Bombyx mori: one gene and its partner. The protein of the gene in region 2 interacts with the protein of the main gene of each other region in a pairwise test. Links are inferred from orthologs where the notes say so. Each region holds a gene or a part of one and is shown on either strand. Other genes may lie near its edges.

Region 1 (11,327 bases), on a different chromosome or scaffold from region 2:
AAGCCTATAAATAACTTTCCCACCAACATGACCATAGTATGTGAACCAGTCTCGCGTCAGGTTTGACAGAATTTGTTACGTACCTAATTGTTTTTAAATAGAAAATACATCCAGTAATTTGAAAAAAATGTATTATTAATCATTAGTAGAAGTTGTTCGCTAGAAAAAGATGAGTAGGTACGTAATGTTGAGGTGAATATATTTTTTTACCAGTTTATAACAAATGGTACGTACCAACGTAACCTTAATTTAACAAGCTTTAGTTTACCGAATTACTTGATATAATGAATATTTACTTGTTCCCTTCTGATTTGTTATGTTGAGGTTGCAATTATTATCTGACTGCTTACTTTCTACATAACGCCCACCTTTAATACTAATGGGAATGATAGAAGGGAGTCATGTGTGATGCAATTTAAATCTAGACCTTATGTAATTGGGTGATAGAATTTTACATTGTGGTGGCGCTAATTGATTAACATCATTTGGATTATGAACTTCGAGAATTTTCCGTTAACGCGATACAGAAGTATTTAAGTTTAAGCGCACAGATTTTGCTTTATTAAGGTAATAGTTTAAATAAAAATGACATTTTTATGTATTGTTTCTTTTTAGGGCTTGCCGTGCCAGGCAGAAACAAATGTACTCAGAGATGGGACAATGATAGATCTGTGTGGAGCCACATTGTTGTGGAGGAGTGCCGAGGGACTGAAGAATTCACCGGTACATTTATCTAATTTTACTATCATAAATTAATCTTTTTTTTTCATTTTTAATTTAACTAAATTTTAAATTTTCTAACATTTTAATCATCATTCAGGCTATTATATTTATTGTACGTATTAAATGTGTATGTAAACAATACTTTAATATGAGAAATGTAAAAGTATGTTTGTTTGTTTGTCCTTCTTTCGCGACGAAACGAAGCTATGGATTGAAATGATTTTATCAAAGTGATAGTTTTAGGTCAGTAAAGACACATTGGATAGAAGGTACATTTACTAAATTACCTTTAGAAAAAAAAACATCGACACTTTTCCTTGACGAAATTTCTAGAAATGTTGTTTTTCCACGTACAGACAAAACGCGATTTAGAAGCTCTAGTGGACGAGTTGAACGCCGGCCGGCCTCAGTGCCCGGTCGGACTCAACACGCTGGTCATTCCGCGGAAGCTGTCCACCGCGCACCAAGACCTCAACCAGCCCTACGTGTACCTCAACTGCGGACACGTGCAAGGTGAGGCCGGTGCACTAGTATATATCTCGCTACGTTGGTCATCGCAACATGAGAGCGTCTGAGCACCACACCATCGCGCGTTTCGTATTGGGTGACGGAAAATATAAGTAATCTAGTATATGTTCCATAACGACTATACATGTTTTTTTTAAGCGGTTACCAGAGCCCATAGACATCTACAACGTAAATGCGCCACCCACCTTGAGATATAAGTTCTAAGGTCTCAGTATAGTTACAACGGCTGCCCCACCCTTCAAACCGTAACGCATTACTGCTTCACGGCCGAAATTGGCGGGGTGGTGGTACCTACCCGTTCGGACTCACAAGAGGTCCTACTACCAGTAATTACGCAAATTATAAATTTGCGGGTTTGATTTTATTACACGATGTTATTCCTTCACCGTGGAAGTCAATCCTGAAGATTTCTTAAGTACGTATTTCATTACAAAAATTGATACCCGCTGGCTGGACAGGTGCATCGTTCAACACGAATGCACCGGACGTCTTATCCTTTAGGCCACGACGACGTTGTTGTAGGTGCGAGACATTTGGGTAATTGGAATTCAATGGATCAATCGAACATCATCCTATGAGCGGTATTGCTGGCTCTTAATATTACTATTAAAATTTGATAGGTCTCGCTGTACTGATTTACTTAATATGTTCATTAATTAAGAACTTGTAAGTACACTGATAGACATAGATATAAGGAAATATAATATTATTATTGACCCAATCTTTGAACTGTGCTGTTTGAGTTTAACCGGCTCAATACACGGTGACGTCGAAATGCTATTATGAATTAGTGTATTAATAAATACATCTTTAAAGTTTTGATATTCGTGTCACAACTGTTTGAGTATTAATATATTGAAATATTAAATCTATTATTTACACAATAAGATAGTGAATTTTATTAAACTAGTTGTAAGTAATTAATGTAGTGTTTGTACAAATGACATGTTAACGAATCAACGTCGCGTCATGCATTGATGGCTGTGATTGGCCAACGATGACGTCATATCGCACGAACCAATCACAAAACAGAAAATGCAATAGTGGCACCAATTGTCAAAATTTTAAATAATATAACACGAAGAAAAAAGATGGACGCGCATTTCAATTTTGTATTTGTAAAATAATTAAAAATAATATAATGAGTATTTGAAGAAGTAAACGCATTTATTCATTTTCTTGGCCACCTCAAGATACATCTAAGAAATAGACGCAACAGACATGAATATGTCGCGATACTCAATTTCATATTGTTTTATTGAAAATTTTCTAGATCAGACGAATTGACGTCCTCTCTTAAGTAATTACCGAACCCAAAATACAACAATGTAATTAACGTTTTACATTGAGTCACTAACTTATTGCTAAGATGGGCGGACGAGCTCACGGCCCACCTGATATTAAGTGGTTATCGGAGCCCATAGACATCTACAATGTAATAGCCGCCACTCATCTTGAGATATGAGTTCTAAGGTCTCAGTATAGTCACAACGGCTGCCCCGCCCTTCAAACCGAAACGCATTACTGCTTCACGGCAAAAATAGACCGGGTAGTGGTACCTACCCGTGCGGACTCACAAGACGTCCTACCACCAGTAAGTACGACAAATTATAATTTTGCGGGTTTGGTTTTTATTACACGATGTTATTCCTTGACCGTGGAAGTCAATCGTGAACTTTTTTCAAGTACGTATTTCATTACAAAAATTGTTACCCGCTTGCGTGATTCGAACACCGTTGCATCGATACTTACGATTCGGTATCGATTTCAAACCGGAAAACACTATTGCTTCCCAATATAAATCAAAGGCAAAGTTACATAGTATTTGAATAAGTTATTTTTTTATGAATTAGCAAGTTACATCGAATGTCATTCATTCCCGATCCTGCGGACAGAATGGAAAGCAGTCGACGTCGCCCCAAACACGTCATTTCGGATCCTCCCGATCCACTAACGGTGCTTTTAGGTACTTCAAGCACCGGTCACCGATCTCGTCGAACCCGTCGCTTGCGACGAAGGGCTCGACGAGTAAATTAACCCTCAGACACAGCCCACTGAGTTTCTCGCCGGATCTTCTCAGTGGGTCGCAATTCCGATCCGGTGGTAGATTCTGCGAAGCACGGCTCTCACTAGGGTTCGTGTTAGCAACGTCGTCAGGTTTGAGCCCGTGAGCTCACCTACTAGTTAAAGTTACGCTGAAATAGCCTCTGAAGGCTCTCAGCTAGGTAGGAAAAATAATAATAATAAAATAAAGAAGGTCATTGACCTCGGTCATTAAATACTTTCAATGATTGCGTGCTTAATCTTTGAGTACGTTTCCCGCATGTGATAGTTGTTGTTGGTTGTCTGCAGGGGAGCACTCGTGGGGCGCCGAGGGCAGCGAGACTGGGGTGCGGCGGTGCCCGATGTGCTTGACGGCGGGCCCCGTGGTGCGCGTGTGCATGGGCATCGAGCCCGCCTTCTACGTGGACGCGGGACCGCCCACGTACGCCTTCAACCCGTGCGGACACATGGCCTCCGAGAGAACCGTCAAGTGCGTGTAACTGTTTAACCTAACAACCTGTTGTCCAAACTAAATGGCAGTGTTACACATAGCGAAGAATGAAAGACTATGTGGTTTAAGCCACTTTTTGATTTATTGCTTAGATGGGTGGACGAGCTCACAGCCCACCTCATGTTAAGTGGTTACCGGAGCCCATAGACATCTACAAGGACACATGGCCTCCCAAAGAACCGTCAAGTGCGTGTAACTGTTTAACCTAACAACCGGTTGTTCAAACTAAATGGCAGTGTTACACGTAGCGAAGAGTGAAAGGCTATTTGGCTTAAATAACATTTTTTTTAAAGATTGGTGGACGAGCTCACAGCCCATAGACATCTACAACGTAAATGCGCCACACACCTTGAAACATAAGTTCTAAGGTCTCAGTATAGTTACAACGGCTGCCCCACCCTTCAAACCGAAACGCATTACTGCTTCACGGCAGAAATAGGCGGGGTACCTACCCGGCTCCTACCACGCTCCTACCACCAGTACGTTTCGCTTAATACGCTATACTTTTCTTTGTAATTATTAAAAGTACGTTTTATTTGGTATTAGCATCGACAAGTTGTTTTTAATTGAATTTCAATTAAATTCAACCTCTCGATATATATAACGGTTTTACAAAATGTAGTTTTATTTGCGAGAGTACTATCATAGACCAAGAAAAGAATCACAGACTTACATAGATTATATTAAAGTATAAACTAGAGATATAATTATCACACCATGAGTCTATCTATACTAATATTATAAAGAGGAAAGATTTGTTTGTTTGTTTGTTTCGAATAGGCTCCGAAATTACTGGACCGATTTGAAAAATTCTTTTTCCATTAGAAGCCGACGTTGTCCCTGATGAACATAGGCTACTTTTTTTTATTTATTTTTTTTATTTTTTTTTTTTGGTTTCATGTGTGTTTTAATGTTTCCGAAACGAAGCGAGGGCGGGTCGCTAGTAAACTATAAAGTAGGGTTCAACTTTCTAAGTTCAACAATAGATAATAACTAATAATTCTTCTAAGTACATTTCCAACGAAAACTGTTGAAAACCTAATTAATCATGTTTTATTTCAACAACTAATGTCGCAACTATAGAATTATAGACACCCATTTCGAAATATGTGGATTTCGACTTTAATTCAAAAATGTACCTAGAACGACCGACCCTTTTCAGTGACTCTTAATAATTAAATCACCAAAAGTAGCCTATAACGGGACAAACTTATACATCTGTCTCTTTCACTCCGTCCCCTGCCTCTACGTCTTTTCGGTTTCAAAACCTTTATTCGATGTTTTAAAAAAAACACATTTTTTGAGTTGGGTCTGTGTAATTCTAAAGGTTCGATCTGTCAGTGTCAGTTTTAAGCAAAGGTATTCCCTCGGCAGGTACTGGGCCAACGTGGACATCCCGCACGGGACCAACGGCTTCCACGCGATCTGTCCGTTCTGCGCCGCGCCGCTGCAGGGCTCGCCCGGATACGTCAGACTCATATTCCAGGACAATCTCGATTGAGACTTGCTAATGGTAAATTATTATCCTTACTAGAATAGAAGATCTATATATATAAAAATGAATTGCTGTTCGTTAGTCTCGCTAAAACTCGAGAACGGCTCGACCGATCTGGCTAATTTTGGTCTTGAATTATTTGTGGAAGTCCAGAGAAGGTTTAAAAAGTAGATAAATATGAAAATGCTCGGAATTAAATAAAAATAACAATTTTGTTTTCCCTTTGATGTCCCCACCGTCGGACGCATTCCTTGTGTTTGTCTTAAGTTTATTTTATACAAAAGTTTAGGTCTTTTGTTTATCGATTGAGGCACTACGAAGTATATTTGAATATAATTATATAAAAGATAATAAAAAGAATATAAAAATAAAAACCATTATCAATTACACTTTTGTTACCTTCATTTCACTTCATATGATTATGTGCATATCTTCTTTATTACCTCGAATTCTAAAGTTGACTTTCCATCTTCCAAATGTAATACAGTTAACGAAGCAGTAATTAACCAATTATCTGGTCATCGCCCTGGTCGAACCCGTCGCGAACGAAGGGCTCGGCGAGTAAATTAACCCACAGACAAAGCCCACTGAGTTTCTCGCCGGATCTTCTCAGTGGGTCGCGTTTCCGATCCGGTGGTAGATTCTGCGAAGCACTGCTCTTGCTAGGGTTCGTGTTAGCAACGTCATCAGGTTTGAGCCCCATGAGCTCACCTTCTAGTTAAGGTTACGCTGAAATAGTCTTCTCAAGACAATCAGCTTAGATAGGAAAAGAAAAAAAAAACTATTTTTCAAACTGTCTAAAATCTATATGTCAAAATTAACCATACAATAATACTCTTTGCCTAAATAAACAAGCTTTATCAATTTGTCAGTACAATATCTTGTTTTTTTTCTAGGTTCAAGCTCGAATCAACCATTGTAAATAGAGGGGATGCATACTGTAAAATCGTCTGTAAGAAAACGTAGCCTATAGACGCTTTGGGCCGAGGTTACCTATGCAGCTGAAGCGATTCGAACGAAACTCGCTATCGCTCATGAAACAAGGCCTCGGCCAAATCTCAGAACGATTATATTACACGTTATGAATTAGGTTATGACTTCCCTCAGTAGTTTGAGGATGCTTTCATGACTTCACGATGATGTAACGCGCACGTCGACGACGGAATCTCACTAAACGTGGCTTTCGGTTATACTAAATCACTAAAATATTCAACAGATGGCGGTACTGTTTTATAAAACAAACAAAAAAATTATAAGCTCACATTATACTGAACCCGTCTCTCAACTATTACAAATATTTTGATCTCGAAATGTTTTGATGAATTAGAATTAAAATGTTTGTTTTAAAACAGTACAACATCGGTACGACAAATCAATGTTATGTATTTCGTTAATTGAACAAAATACATTACGTTAGTTATATATAACAACAAAAGCGAATTACTAACTCGACGATTTAATCTTTTAAACTGATAAAAATAATAACTCTCAATAATCAACATATATACATATTGTATGTACTGGACAGAATTCAATTATAACTAATACCTTGAAAATGTAAGAAGCAAACTATGATTTAATAGGCAAATATTTCAAATTGCCGTTTTATTGATGGGTTCGTGTTGATGAATGAAGCCTCGCTTGGTGACTTTGAGGTAGGAAATGAAATTGTTTAAATTCAATCAAACATTGTTTCCTTAATAATTTTATGGTTGTAAAAAAAAAATGATATCTAAAATAAAGGTGTCCGAAATTATAATGGTCTCCTAAAGTCTAAAGAAAATGTTAAAAATTAATTGAAAGCATAAAATATGTACACCGTTTTTTATGTATGCAATGAGCAGATGTAATGCGTATTTTTTTGTCTTTTGGAATGTTGAAAGTTATACATGTAAATATTTAATAATAATCATAAAAAAAAAACAAATACTTTTAGCTAAGATATTATTTATATCGGTATTTCTGTGGCGGTTTCGAACGCTTTCTAGAAACAGAGAGCCTATGTAGTTTGTAAGTGAAGCGTTATTATTATGTATTGATGTGTGTGAGTTTTGTGTGATAAAGTTGCATCATACACACATTCATATATTATTATGATGTGCATAGCTTGAAGATTCATTCTTAACTTTATTTCGGCACATTTGTTTTTAATGGTCTGTTTGTCTTCTACAAGTGAACACGAGGCTTAAAAAGAGTTGGGTTTTTTTATGAATTTGATATTTAATTTCGGTATCTTACTAGCCGATCTATTTACTGCACAAAAATAATAAACTTTTTTTTTTTAGTAGTACTGTTAACAATATTTGCACGTTAATCTGAGTGCTCACACCTAATGAATTAGCTGGGAAAGACATATATATATATACCTATAAATGTTTTAATTCAGTCATTTTATTGTAGTTACACATCTAAGCAAGTAATAAAAATTGTATTACCCTGTATCACATATTCCTAAGTCATAGTACAAAAAATATGTTTATGTAAGTTTGTTTATGTACTGACTTAATAGTAAGAACGAATCGAATAATGGTCGTGATAAGAATAGTTTTTTTTTAAATATTTGTTCTATAAAATTGCACTCAAATTTAAATTTCAAAACTATTTCAACAAGTGGCTGATTAGCATGCAACCTTGTGCCTGTATTGAAAAAAAATGACCTTCTTGATACCCATAGAGACGTACGAATTAAGACCCTATTTAATTTAGCCGCGTAAAGTGGTATTGATTAACACTAATTAAAAATAACTCGACATAGATGCATAATGTCGGACACTTATGTATGTATGTCCTAATCTACTGTAGCACTCGATAATGCCACCATTATAACATATAATTTTTTGAAATAGTACTAAAACTACAATATTCAAAATTGAATACGAATAATGATGATGTCGCAAAATGTAGATCCGACGTTATGGTTCTGATATCGAGAGCTGCTTTATTTTTTTTTCGTTCGTAAATGTTTGCATGTAAAGAGTTAGAGGCTCGTAGTAGGCTGGACCTGTATGCTTAGTGTGAGTTTTTTAACGTTCTCGATAGCGTAAAAGTTAGCTCACATTTGTTTGCAGTTGGAACAGCGCCCCTAGCGGCAAACGTAGGCAAATTTGCATACAAATTTGAGTTAACTTCTACGTTATCGAAAACGTTAAAAAACTCTCACTAAGCACACTGTAGGCTTCGATCTCGGGGTTTATGTACGTGATCAAATCGAAATAAAAGCATTTAGGAAACTGAGTTTAAAGACTAAACTCGAATTTCAAGGATATTTGTTATTAATAATAAAATCGATTAGTATTTGGTGTCCTAAAACGAAATGTAAATAAAGTAAGTTTTATAGGCGTAGTGGTTAGCTTACGAAAGGTAAAATTTAGTTTTTTATACTATTCGAGTTTCACCGTTTAGTCGATTTAACATAAAAAAAAACATTTTTAGTGATTTCTTTTTGAATGGAAAAAAATTGTAACACTTTTTGTTTTTCCTTACTATGACCTGTTTTTCTGATGGAAAAGTTTTCAAGCGTTCGGCTCAAACTGGTCGCATGGATTAATTCCTATTAGTTCCCGTTCAATTATCGATATAAAACCTTGAAACGGGTCGATTGTGAATTTATTTTCGTATTTTATTTATTGCGCTAAACTATGCGGCGAGCTCGTGGCCGACTTGGTTACCTTGTAACCAGAAGCTTGTAGACATCAGAACATGAAATCGAAGAATCAAAGTTCCGCCCTCGAACCGGAGCAAAAGGAGGGACTGCGGCACCCGCTCGCGCGTACTCGCAATACGCTTCTTACTGCTAATAAAAAGTGCATTATTCAAATCTTGTGATTCTTTGTTTTACGACGCGATTATGGACTGTTTAATTAATTAATTCACCTATTACGATGATTGAATGTTTATCATTAGTTTTGATTAGAAACTGAGATTTATGTGGACAATGTAGTTACGCTTATAATTAATTATGTAGCGTCTTTGCGCTTTGAGCTAACATTGTGATAACCTAATGTATGCTGCATACAATGAAACAACAGAAATAGCTGTCGTTTTGTGTGTACATACCAAAATGTCCAGCAGTATTGAAATCTGTTTGTAATGTGCGTTTGCAATGTTACGTTTAAAGCGCAAATGATCGATTTTAAAACTTATTATTACGGTAATAAGAACTGATTGCTAGCCTTAATTTTATTTATAATACCTATGTGCTAGGATAATAAATTGCTCCTTTGAGTTAGAAAATTCACTTGGTGTTTGTCTTCCGGTTACCTTAATGTTGTTGTTTATGCACGCGGTTTTCCTAACAATGTTTGAAAATATGTAATACATTTTAATTTGCATATTTCGCGCACCCGCGTACCGAAAGAGAAAGGTAGCGCAAGAAGAAACCGCTGAGACGGAGACGTGATGATTATTTTCTTATATTTTTCTTCAATTATCGGCACTGACTCTTGTTATTATTGTCGGATCTTCAAATATGAGAACAGATATGAACGTGAAGGAAATATGCATAATGCGTGGGATTTGTTGCTCTACATTTTTTGTGACAATTACTACCGCAATATACCGTTACCCGCACGTTATTAGACCTGATCTCTTTTGTAAAAAAGTGCGGTACTTTTGTAAAAAATCAAGACCATCTCAATCCCATCGGCCTATAGACATCATCACATCAGTGCCCGGTCACCGTCCGCGCCGAACCCATAGACACAGCCCACTGAGTTTCTCGCCGGATCTTCTCAGTGGGTCGAGTTTCCGATCCGGTGGTAGATTCTGCGAAGCACTGCACTTGCTAGGGCAAGTGTTAGCAATATTCCCAGTTTATGACCCGTGAGCTCACCTACACGTCAAGGCGAAGCTGAAATAGCCTCTCAAGGCTATCAGCATAGGTAGGAAAAAAAAGGACATGAGTGCTGAACATGGGCCAAGGTCCTCCGCCACAATGACTTGTCCTGTGTCGCCCGTAACCAGAAGATTTGCACGACCTTCAACAAGTCGTTTGTCCAACTTTTGAGGGCCAACCTACGCCAGTCTTCAAGCACAAGTCACCCATAGAGGGCTGTGCTCTGAATTAACTTTCGAGAATATTTCAGTTATGAAGACGATTCGAAGGAGAACCATTAATATTTGCACAGATGCAGACAACAACAAAGGAAATTCATGTTTTAACGGGATGCCAGTCTTAAACTCTTCCAGCCTCACATTGATCTTGAAAATTTTATTCGTGCTCAATCTCAAATGCGATAACAAGCCACAAGTGAATACCTAATGCGCAATAATTTTATTTTTTATTGCTTAGATGGGTGGACGAGCTCACGGCCCATCTGGTGTTAAGTAGTTACCGGAGCCCATAGACATCTACAACGTAAATGCCGCCACCCACCTTTAGATGAGTTCTAAGGTCTCAGTATGCCACAACGGCTACCCCACCCTTCAAACCGAGACGCATTACTGCTTTACAGTAGAAATAGGCATACCTACCACTGCGGGCTCACAAGAGGTCCTATCATCAGTAAAAAACGTAATAACTAAAAAAATTTAATAACGTAAAAAGAAACAATAAAACTAAAGTATCATTATTTACTATTAACATATGAAATTACAACTTAAGCAACTTAATATACTCACAGCACATATTAAATACATTGTCTGATCAGATCAAGAGTTCCACACTAAATTACTTACATCCACAACATGAACAGATATCTGTTCCAGTTAGAAGAGTGAGACAGTAGTAATACAAAGCTTCTGAGACATCGACCTCATGTCTCAAGGTGCCATGTGTATGGGCTCCCGTAACAATAGGCGAACCGTTCGTTCACCCCATAATGCAAAAACAATAATGAATTCCAAAACCATCGAAACGTGAACTGTCTTCGGGTGTTGTAAGCTAACGGCATCTGTGTTGTAGTCAGTGTGGGTTCTGGGGCCGGTCTTGGCCAGCCCAGCTCTGTTTACTGACTCTGTTTGCCGACCACACGCCAAAAATAATCGCGTTTCTTTGTTCAAATAAAACGGCCTTTCTAAAGCAAATCA
Region 2 (12,389 bases):
TCGTCGGATCTTTTCAGTGGGTAGCGACTTCGATCCGGTGGTAGATTCAACGAAGCAGTGTTCTTGCTAGGGTTAGTGTTAGCAAGGTCTCTCAGGTTGAGCCCCGTGAGCTCACCTACCCGCCCGCGTGTTTTGGAATGGCCCCTTAGGCTAACAACGATTAGGTAAGCAAAATAAATAAATGTCCTTCACAAATAAAGAACGTAATATAATCTGACTAGCTTTTGCCCGCGACTTCGTCCGCGTGGAATAATTACTTTGGCAAAACGCTAAATTTGACCCGTCTCTTCATTTACGTACGAAGTGAAAATATTTTTGAATAATTGAATGTTAAGGAACTATTTAAGGTACCAAAATCACGCATTTTAACCGTCTTCAAAAGAGGAAGCTATCAATTCGACCATATAATTGTCAAAGCCTATATTGAAGTGATTTTGTTTTTTTTTCCTACCTAACCTGAGTCTTGAGAGGCTATAGGTATCAGCGTAACCTTAACTAGTGGGAGGATCCGAAATGACGTGTTTGGGACAACGTCAACTGCTTTCCATTCTATCCGCAGGATCGGGAATGATGTAATGCGGGTGTTTCAATGTTGTAACATTTAACGTATTTATTTGGATAAGGATTAATATTTTATATTGATTAATATTTTTTGATATTAATATTTATAAAAACACTTTCACAAAAAATGCCTTATTTTAGAACAACAAACAGAACAGAACAAGAAATTTGTTTAACATATAAAACGTTATAGTGAGCCAACCTTGAAATATAGACATATGCTGTGGCGGACTTTTTTTCAAAACTTTTAAAGGGCAACAATTTTGTGATGCATTATTTTAGTCAAACTTTAACCGTTTCCGCAGAGCACGTAGCGAAAGCTCTCGAAAGAGAAAAATACTCCGATTTTGAAACATTCTTATTGGTGCTCCGCTTGTATTGGTCTTAGCGTGATGTTGAATAGCCTATAGCTTTCCTCAATTATAGAGCTATCTGACGTTGAAATAATTTTTTAGCGCGTTCAAACAAACAAACAAACAAAAAACAAACTCTTCAGCTTTATAATAATAGGGGTTAAAGTATGAAATTGCCGTTCTATTACTAATAGGTACTTCGAATTGACATAGAACCTTCATGGTTTGAGAATTTTGAATGTCGTCGTGGCCTAAGGGATAAGACGTCCGGTGCATTCGTGTTGAGCGATGCACCGGTGTTCGAATCCCGCAGGCGGGAACCAATTTTTCTAATGAATTACGTACTCAAGAAATGTTCACGATTGACTTCCACGGTGAAGGAATAACATCTTGTAAAAAAAATGAAACCCGCAAAATTTTTATTTGCGTAATTACTGGTGGTAGGTACCACCGCCTTGCCTATTTCTGCCGTGAAGCAGTAATGCGTTTCGGTTTGAAGGGTGGGGCAGCCGTTGTAACTATACTGAGATCTTAGAACTTATATCTCGAGGTGGGTGGCGCATTTACGTAGTAGATGTCTATGGGCTCCAGTAAACACTTAACACTAGGTGAGCTGTGAGCTCGTCCATTCATCTAAGCAATAAAAAAAAATTTTTGAGTGAAACTTTTCTCAAAGGGTACAGAGGTTCTTCTTTTAAAAAATGCGCAACATTCGATTACCTATCGACTTCAGTTGTTTTTTTTTTTATTTCAGCTTCGACAAGAAAGATGAATATTTCGAAAATTCGAGTGATTTTTGAATACGATTTCCGACGCGGAACTAACGCTGCAGAAACAGCTCGCGATATCAATATTACGTTTGGAGAGGGACTGCTAATGAACACACCGTCCGATTTTGGTTTAAACACTTTCATGATGGAAATTTTGATTTGAAGAATGTACCACGTGGAAGACGTGTGAATCACACATGTGAATAACAATGAATTGCAAGAGATGGTGGAAGCCGATCCGAGCCAAACTACCCAGGAATTAGCGGCATGGTTTAACATTACCTTAACAACAATATTGACTCATTTGCGTCGAATCAATAAAATCAAAAAATATGAAGAATGGGTGCCTCATGATTTGACTGATCTGCAGAAAGAAACGCGTGTTGAAACTTGTGTTGCCTTGTTGAATCGATACAGAAATGAAGGAATATTGGATCGAATTGTGACTTTGCTCCAACGGACTACCATTTTTTTCGTTTTTCGTGATTTGGACAATTTTCTACGTGATAAAAAGTTTTCTTCCCAGGAGGCAGTACAAAATGCTTTCACACAGTTTATGGAATCTAGATCACCAGAGTTCTATCGCAAAGGTATAAATGACCTTCCTATTAGATGATAGCAATGTATAGATAATAATGGTAGATATTTTGATAAAATAAGTATGTTAAATGAAAAAAAAACGACTTTAATTTTTCAGTACAAATCGGCAATTTTATACTTTAACCCCTAATTATAGATCACCGTATTGAGTAAAGCAAATTGAGTAAAGTCATTCAAACATATTGATTCACTTATGATACTGTAAACATAATTAGTCAGGTCGCAACTAGGAGACTGCTCCTCTGCTTCGAGCCCTTAATTAGATAGTGAATAAAATTACTGATGTGAGCTAAATTCACAAAATTATTAAAGTCTTGCAATTATTTATTAACATCAGCTTACATCGAACACGTCTGTTTTGATACTCCACTTTAAAAAAAAATGTTGCGCGCAATAATTCGCTTTACCGTTCCGTATCAATCATGTGATGATATTTGCTTGATGTCCTACCTGAGGACGTACTTCGTCGATATGAACGATCGATCTAAATTGAATCTTTACATTTTTTTATTTTAACCTTAATAAAATAAGTTTTCTTTATTAAGACATGTATATTTGGAAAATACAACTGAATTTAGGGAATTCAAGAGGTCTGGCAACCGGTTATGTTTGACACTCATTCCAGTAGTGACGCGACGACTCGATTTTTGGTAACCTTTAACTTTCATTAAAAAAATCAAGTTAGAATCACTTACTCCAAATTAGTCCCAGTTCTGTACAAAACGAAAATTTACTACTGTTGAACGACGAAACAGTCATGGTTACTGTTTGGTGGCCTAGTGCCTTCTTTATTCACCATAGCCTCTTACCAAATGATACTAGCCTTACAGTTGATGTGTACTTTGAGAAAGTGAATCCAATTATTGAGAAGTTCACGAATCTCCGGTCAGCATGGCTCATCCTCGTTACTAGCACTCGAGCTGATAGGTCACAATAGCTGGTACGTAAATGCGCCACCCACCTTGAGATACAAGTTCTAAGGTGTCAGTATAGTTACAACGGCTGCCCCACCCTTCAAACCGAAACGCATTACTGCTTCACGACAGAAATAGGCAGGGTGGTGGTACCTACCCGTGCGGACTCAAAAGAGGTCCTGCCACCAGTAAAACCACCATTATTTAATTTCAATCCAACTGTAAACAATTGGATCAAATAATTCGACTTCATCTGATTCTAATCCATATATTAATATACCTAGTCTTGCCATAAATACTGAGACAAAGGAAAAAAAAATCTGTATATTGAAGATAAGCAATGTAAATAGAAAGAGAACAACTAAACCAAAGTAATAGAAGATAAACCAGCGACTACTTAGTCTGGCCATAAATACTGTTACAATAAAAAAATAAAAAAATCTATTGCAAATAACATTTATTACTTTTACAGTGTGTTAGTTTAATACATAGATATAAAATAATTTAAAGTATAAAAAGCTTATTCGAAGTGGTCTCCATTGGCTGCAATACAGTCCTTTGAATGTTGAGGCCAGTTATCAATAGAAGCACGCACTCTTTCCATGGGAAAAAATTTCACTGCCAATCGGACGGATTGTTTTAGGGACTCCAAATTATCATGGCGTTTAGAGCAAGCCGTACTCTCTAAAACTGACCATAAATCATAATCCAGCGGGTTAAGATCGGGACTAGACGACGGCCAGTCTTCAGCTCTGATGAAGATGATGAAAGAAGAAGAAGATGAAAAAAAAAAAAAAAAACATGCCCGCTGAGTTTCTTGCCAATTCTTCTCAGGACGGAGGCTAATTCTTGTGAATTGGCGGTAATTCTTTTGACGTTCAACAAGTATGTACTTTCATTTATGTTGAATAAAATTTTTTGATTTGATTTGATTTGATTATAACATTATGCCGAAAGTGATTAAAAGTGCTAGCAGGGATATTGTTTAGCAGGTTAAACGTGCTTGCGAAGAAGAACGAGACAAAAACGGGCCTATATTACCATTTCAACGTAATTTTTGGGCCTACCAAATCTTTAAAAGTTCCGCATTTTTCTCGATTTATTTGTTAATTATTCAATTGTAGTTCTCTTCTTAAAAGCAAGAAACGGGAAGAACAAGATTTCTGAATTAGATGATTTTGATAAGTCTGCTATAAGACATAAAATATTATATTTGTTTGATATCGAGAAGAATGAAATCCCTACAATAAACAAACTTTGGTTGGAATTAAAAACTGATATTAATTTTAAATACAGTAGAACATCTATAAGAAGCATCCTATAGGTTACAGTTACAAGAAGTGTAAAGTCTAGTATGGCTTCTGATGAAAATGTCCGAATCGAAGGCATTGACTGCAGGACCATTTCTATGCCAAATTTAAATATACTGCATGATATTAAATAAACAACTTACAAGGTTTTTATTGCGTTTTAATCTCCTTATTATATCCTAATTGAAATAGCCTAGTGCAACAACTGTATTCTGTATATCTCAATTACTTTTAGTATGTAAAATGAGATATCACTTCATTAAACGAAGGAATAAATATTAGTCAAGCTGGCAACATAATGCAGTACGCACGCAACCAGTAGCGTGCAGACTTATCTTGCGCGCACTCTATTTGTGTTTTATGTTTATTCCTAGCATCAACACAACTAACACAATTTATCTGCTTATAGTCCTTGAGTAGTTATTACACGACACTGGCAAAAATAGCTCTGTGTATAGGTAGATTGGTAATAAACAAAGAAATAAAAGAGTTAGGGTGCATTTTATAGGTTGCTTTTGGTTTGTCTTTTAATTGTCTATAATAAATACTTTTATAGTCAATGTACTCAATCTTTACAATCCATGTGAATAGCGCTATAACCCAATACAAATCTTCTGATCGCACCGCTCAGAGAAAAGGAGCAGAAATTCCTCGACATTGTCTTACAAATTTTTTAACGTAAACGAAACCAAGAAGACACGGTCTAAGTATTCAATTCGAGTCGAGTTCTGGATTCCAGGTAACTGTTATCTTCTGAGATTAATATTATGTTATGAGATAACTGTTAAATGACTATGAAAGGATTCAGGCTCACCTGAATCAGTTGAAATTAATGTACTCTTTGCCTAATTTGAAAGTTCGGCCATCACTACATGACAGTGAAATTCAGTTAAAACGTCATAGATCTTAAACAGTCCAGAGACAATAGTACACAATTACTGTCAATTACACATAGTATAAATAAACAGTCGTAGGAAACGCTACCTGCTGAATGAAACACAATTAAATCAATGTGATGTTTTGGACTGAAACTAAAGTCCTTAATAATTAGTGAAAATGTACATTTACGAATTACCACCCGAGATTAACAAAGAACTATGTCGACTTTTGGACAACTTCGATTACTGGGAGGAGCTGGCCGGCAATTACATGATGTACACAGCGATGGACGTCATCGTAAGTATATTTATTACTAAGAATCACTTGGGATTTCCCAAATGCAGACCTTAGGGAACTTTAATGAAAAATCCGATTGAAGAACAAAAATTTCGCTGTTCCTGACACAACACAGTATAGCACAATATAAAAACAGTAAAAGTATACAAGTCAAATCAAATCAGTCTTATATTTAAGTAGGCCGTTACTGATGTCATTTTTTATCACCGATTTGGAATACTGTTTTGCTCCTGAATCAGCAAGGATCTCTGAACTTGTTCTTTCCATCGCAACACAAAAAAATTACTACATTTTAAGATCAAATTAAATATTTCATTGAATTGAAATTACTATGACTTGAACAGGTCAACACTACTGAACCAATTAAACATAAGTTTAGTATTCTTGCTGTGAGGAGCACAATTTCAAACCTATGTATGTAGTTCCTTCATTCACATAGCAATTGACATATGTCATTAATTGACTAATAAATTTAGTACGTAATTGTTTTCCTTAAACTAATAATTGTTTACTAGAATTTGCTTGGAGTATGATCTCCAAGCACTGATGGATCCAGAACTGGATGAAATCTGACCTATAATACAACTAGTGTTACAAAATATTTGCATAAAACATTTTGTGAAAGTTCATTAATATTCAACTTTCACTGTTATGAAATCATATATGTTTTACATGTGAATGCTAAAAAAATTTATATTTCCCAATTGACAAATTATGAATGGTATAAAATATTATTATATTATATTATATTGAGGTTAGAGATGAGAGATGTTGGAGTTAGAGATGAAAATATGGAAATCATAATATTTGCACTATGTAGGCCAAAACATCTACATATTTAATTATAAGTATGAAAAAAGAAAACAGCACCATATATTGATCCTCAAAGGGCAGGTAGTTCTCTACTCCTTGATGTGTACATTTTTGATGGGTACACATCAAGTATGATGATACACATGATACAAATCATATACTTGATGGGTACATTTTTTTATGTGAAGGACTTAAGAAGCTCCATACCTTTTTGCTTTGTTTATCACTCTTTTTATGAATTTCTTGTGTAGTAGTTGTGTTCTAATGATAGATGATAAAGATAAAGTTCTAATGATAAAGATGAATGAATTAATTTGTAATGTATGTTTATCTATTTAGGAAATAAAAGAGAAGGCTCGTCATCAGGGCATATCCCCAACGGAATACCTCCTGGAGTGCTGGGGGCAGAAGAACCATCGAATTGAGGAACTGTTTGTGTTGCTGTACCGCATGAAGCACATTCCTGCCATGAGGCGGCTAACCGGCGTCGTGCACGAGAGGTTCCATAGACTCCTACACAAGCTGGAGGCGGGGAACGGACAGGATGGAAACAGTCAGTATACTAGTTCAATAAAATTACAGAATAATATTTAAAGTTTGTAGATTGACCCCAGTCGAGTTGATTGGATATAGCATGAGAAGTCGGAGATTTAAGTATCCGAATGTTAAAATGTACATACAAAACAGTACATAGGTATTTTAAATTCAAATTTCATTGGAATATTAAAATAAAATATATATTCTTTTCCTACTTTTTAGTTTGACTTAGTAAAAAAATTCTTTACTTATTTTACTACAGATAATTATATTTTATAAAAGTTTCAACAGTAAGAACTTTTCATTACAATTGATAAGAATAACACACCTCGCGATGTGCTGTCCTGTGGATTGTGTACGACTAAACGTTAATATTAAAATGCTCATTTATTTATATATGGGTGAGTGCGGTCAGGACGTTAGCCAATGTTATAAAATTATTGTACTGTCGGCGGTTCTTGCCACGTGTGCAACTTGCTGTGTGTAGTATAGTAGTATGGCGTCTTAAAGTTTGTGATAGCTAATTATTCTATTGCATAGATATAAGAATGTGGGTTTTTATTAGCGGTGCCTACCCGTGCGGGCTCATTGTAATTAAAAATAAATTTAACAACTAAACTATATTGGAATAAGAAACTAAGGCAAACATAAATGTGAATAGTGTTGTGCGTCGGCCCGGGTACCTGCCACGGTTCGGCCTATATCTGCCGCCGTGCAACTGTCACTAAGAGCGTTAAAACGTTGAGTTCGCAAGGCTAGGGCACCCGGTACGCTTGTTACAGACGCGCGCACCGGCGGCGCGCAGAGGGCCACCACCAGCAGCGACTCCGTCCCGCTCCCGGTCATACTCTTTGATCAGGTAACTAACCTTTCCATGACTTTAGTTTATCAATAAGGGGGATGATGCGTCAAAGTTGGTTTTAGGAAAACAACATCAATCGCAAATTAACATTAAACATTCTCATTAGCATACATTGAATTTATTTTGAAGTAGGTGTCATAATTCAGTATAAAATTAAATACCGCAAATCTTTATGTAGATAAAGGGGAATGCCAGGTCGCCATAGTAATTTAGGCCCACAGTGCACATTTATACAGTCATGATAATAATAGCAGACAACGGCAATAATTAATTAGTAAAAAAAGGAATGTAGAAAAAAGGTGGCATTTTAAAGTTATTCAATAATTTTATCTCTCGTCAATACATGTTATATAAAATGTCCTGTATGTAAAATCCTGTATTAGTTTATCTATTGTTTTATTTTATTTAGAACTAAAATCTATTAGAAATGAAATAAAACACATTACATGGCAGATTTACTCATCAATTTCATTATCATACTACCAAAACATCATCTAAAAATTGAGCTGGAGGGAAAATATTACACACAGTACACAGGGCACAGCATCCTACCGTAAGTAACCGTATGTATAGGTAAAAGCTGTCGATTTAAACCAATAAACATGTACACAAACAGTCACAAGGCAGTTGCAAAACAAGCAATGATTTTGACATTTAAGATTTCCGTCTTCTATCAAGGCAGTAATGGTGTTGCCATAAAAAACAAAAAAAAAACGATAATAGTTACTTTAACTTAATCAATGCTATCATTATATATATATTTTTCACAAAATGAATAGTGAAATAATGTATGATAGAAAAAATTAAATTATTTTTCCAGTTAATTTTCTGTCAACATATTTTTTGTCGGGGAAACATTTGTACGGTAATGTATGGTACCCTTCCAAGCGTAGTCGTTAAATGTTTAATATTTTTGGAAAATTTTTACCAACTTGCACAGAATAATGAATACAAGGAAGAACTAGGATAAATATTAATATATTTTTTTAGTGTAACCAGATTACTGTGCAGCTCTGGGCCTAGATCTGGCCTGCCCCTTTTTTGCAACATCCAAGGCTCAACCTGAGAGAAATTGCTAACACTGCCCCTAACAAAAGCAAAGCTGCGCTGGATAGATCCATGGATCGGAATTGCTACCCGCTGAGAAGATCCGCCGAGAAATTCAGTGGGTTATGTCTATGGGTCAGTTCGCTCGCAGGACGGTGACCGGTGCTAGCGGCGGCCACGATATCGTGTCGAGCCGCTTTGTCGAAATAGCGTTCTGACGCTACCTTAAGATGTTATGGGTCGGTTCTAAATTTAAATGACTCACACGACGGAATTTATAAGAGAATATAGCCGTTATTGCGCGTCAGTCTGTCCGTGCTGCGCGATGTTATCATCTCGAGTGGTGCGCAAGTAGTTCCAATAAGCGTCTTATTTGATTTGATTTTGGAATTACAGGGGATCAGGCAGGCTCCCTCGAGCAGCGGACTCAACGGGCGCTCTCCCTCCGCGGACACGAGCTCGGCCACCAGCACCAGCACCGTGAGTGCCTCTCTGTCGAACGAACCTCGCGCAAACATATACGGATTGTGTTACTGATAGCGGACACTGCCACGGTCGCGTCGTGCAGGCTCGCCCTGGGGCATCACGAAAAATGCCTACACAAAGTGAATATGTTCAGGACATAATTTTATATAATGTTTTACATAAACAGGATGTTCCACAAGGGGTACATCAAGTCCCATTCAAGTACATCATTCACTGGTGGTACCTGTGTGGTACTGGTGGACCTCTTGTGAGTCCGCACGGTTAGGTACCACCACCCCGCCTATTTCTGCCGTGAAGCAGTAATGCGTTTCGGTTTGAAGGGTGGGGTAGCCGTTGTAACTATACTGAGACCTTAGAACTTATATCTCAAGGTGGGTGGCGCATTTACGTTGTAGATGTCTATGGGCTCCAGTAACCACTTATCACAAGGTGGGCTGTGAGCTCGCCCACCCATATCAGCAATAAAAAAAAAAACATCAAAAGATGCCTATTCGTATCGGAAATCAACTTGTGAATACTGGTTGTAATTGAGTGCCCATACTTAATGGCGAATGACGACCACTCACCATCAGGTGGGCCGTATGTCGAGTTCGCACGAGTTGTTTTTATTAAACTACTAGCTGACCCGGCAGACTTCGTAGTGCGTCAATCGATAAATAGAAGACCTAAACTTTGGTATAAAATAAACTTAAAACAAACAAAAGGAATCCGTCCGACGGGTCAGAGGAAAAACAAAATTGTTATTTTTATTTAATGCGAGCATTTTCATATTTATTTACCTTTTAAACCTTCTCTGGACTTCCACAAATAATTCCAGACCAAAATTAGCCAAGTCGGTCCAGCCGTTCTCGAGTTTTAGCGAGACTAACGAACAACATTTCATTTTTATATATATAGACTAGCTGTACCCGTCCGCTTCGCTGGGCATTTAAAATTAACATTATTATTTCTCACCTCCCACAAAGATTCTCATTATTAACGCCTCCGCAACTGGTGTAGAAAGTCCAACACTCATATAAATATTAGCCTATTCATTAAGTACATGTATTTTCTACATGGATACCAAGTTTCAAGTCAATCGGATGCACGGTTCAGTAGTTATAACGGAACATCCGTAAAACCACTGTAGATCTATATATTAGTATAGATATACATTAATAATTACACCTTACATTTTTTTACTTATATGATTTGCATCAGTGATACTAACCGTGCTTCGATTGTACTCCCCTTGTGAGATACTCTGTATAAGATTATAGTCCCAAAAACTCCAATCTACCACCCAGTACTGAAGATATACAAAGGAGACTGAAACAATTACATACATTTTTGGGCCCGAATGTAACGTGATGAAACTAATATGAATTAATAGATTCAGATTTATCAGTACCTTGCTGAAAATTCTAAAAGTTTTCTCAATCTGAGAGCCGAGTTAATAAAGATTTAGTAAAAGTTAGGTTATGTTACAATCTCTATAAAAGAGCTGAATAATAACTTATTTAAGCATAAGTAAATGTTTATTATATCCATTAGATAATCTTTTGAATGTCATATTATGAATGAATATTAATTATCTATATCAGGTATAGATTTACCTAAAAGGCCTCGAAAAAAATAAAACACAACGTATTGTATACCTAGTGTATTGTACCTTCAATTATTATTAAAATGCCGTTCAGGAAGAGTGAGTGCAGGGGGAACAATATTATCTTGTTATGTACCTAAACCAGCTAAGGTACCATATAATACTGTCCAAGGGTCCAACCATATAATATAATCCAACCGTATAATACTGTAACACTGTCCAAGGGTCGACGGCCTATGGAATTGTTATGATTAATTGCTATCCCACAATTCACACAGTGATCCATAATTTCAACAGTATCCAATTCAACAATTTCAAGTCAAACGTGTGAGCGATCTTCGGTGTCCAGTGTAGAAGCAACTGTCGTACAAGGCAGGCAGGGTTGGAATCCGTAATAATAAAGCAGTGATCGTTGAAAATAAATAAAAACAGCTATATAGATACACACTCAAAACGCTTCGAAAATACAAAACGAGTAGAGCAGAAAAAACCAACAAGCGCCAAAACCCAAATATTAAGTGTATAATCTATGAACAAGCGTCATGTCAAAGCTGTCAGACTTTTTGGCGGGAACGCGAGGAGTGAAGTTGTGTGATTTGTTTTCTTTTGTCTATTTAGTGTTTCTTCGGGTTTAAATGTGTAATAATGGTGGTTTATTAACTGTTTAATATCTGTGAAAGTGCACAAATGTGGGTAAATGAAACAAAGCCGCTGGCTGTCACTTCTCGGGATCCTCCAAAAAGTCTCAGTAGATGACCACCATTTTACTGAGATTATATTTCATCCCATATGATCTCATCTCATTTAATTTGATTTCATCCCAGTTCATTAATGTCTCAAATTAATCATCTTCATTTCATTTCATCATTTTTCATAAAAATAAGAAAATAAATGAAAATAAGACATGACTTAAAGGTCTTAGTTACCAGAACATAAAATCCCTTAAAAAAAAATCAAAGCTGTCATTAAAAATACAATTGATTTTAATCGATTTGAAATCGATAATCATATTACTTTGTTAAGTAATAATAGACTTTTTCTTTATTTATGTATATAATCGCAATTAAATTCGCCGTATACCGCACTTGTATACAACAAGTATAAATCGCTCATTTAATTAATTTGCATTCATTACTTAATGTAATGTTTTTCTTTTTATAATCCTGTAATCGATTAATTAAATAGATCACACCGCTAAACCGAGAAAAACCAATTTTCTCATTTTTCTCCGGTCCCAGTAAAAGGATTGAGGTGATTTTTTATATTCTTACTAGCTGACCCGGCAAACATTGTTTTGCCATACTATATAAGATTTCTAGGGAATTTCTAGTGTAGAAAAAAAAACTAACTTATTGTAAGTGTATAAGGATGTGGT

What was found.
Region 1: the proteins of serine/threonine-protein kinase pelle (region 2) and protein pellino interact in a two-hybrid assay, tested with the Drosophila melanogaster proteins (2 studies listed by BioGRID). The link is inferred for Bombyx mori from reciprocal best matches to the Drosophila melanogaster genes pll and Pli.

The regions. Positions count from the first base shown.
Region 1 is NC_085131.1:9,106,580-9,117,906, forward strand, and holds the end of protein pellino, read left to right. Parts: intron 1-615; coding exon 616-723; intron 724-1,079; coding exon 1,080-1,236; intron 1,237-3,603; coding exon 3,604-3,784; intron 3,785-5,179; coding exon 5,180-5,306; 3' UTR 5,307-5,318; intron 5,319-6,196; 3' UTR 6,197-9,537; downstream 9,538-11,327. Other genes in the region: dynein axonemal assembly factor 10, read right to left, coding at 11,325-11,327. UniProt on the Drosophila melanogaster protein: Scaffold protein involved in the Toll signaling pathway via its interaction with pelle/pll kinase.
Region 2 is NC_085132.1:11,570,620-11,583,008, forward strand, and holds the start of serine/threonine-protein kinase pelle, read left to right. Parts: upstream 1-5,429; 5' UTR 5,430-5,564; coding exon 5,565-5,684; intron 5,685-6,836; coding exon 6,837-7,050; intron 7,051-7,816; coding exon 7,817-7,893; intron 7,894-9,339; coding exon 9,340-9,423; intron 9,424-12,389. UniProt on the Drosophila melanogaster protein: Plays an essential role in the Tl receptor signaling pathway that establishes embryonic dorsoventral polarity; the signal directs import of dl into ventral and ventrolateral nuclei, thereby establishing dorsoventral polarity.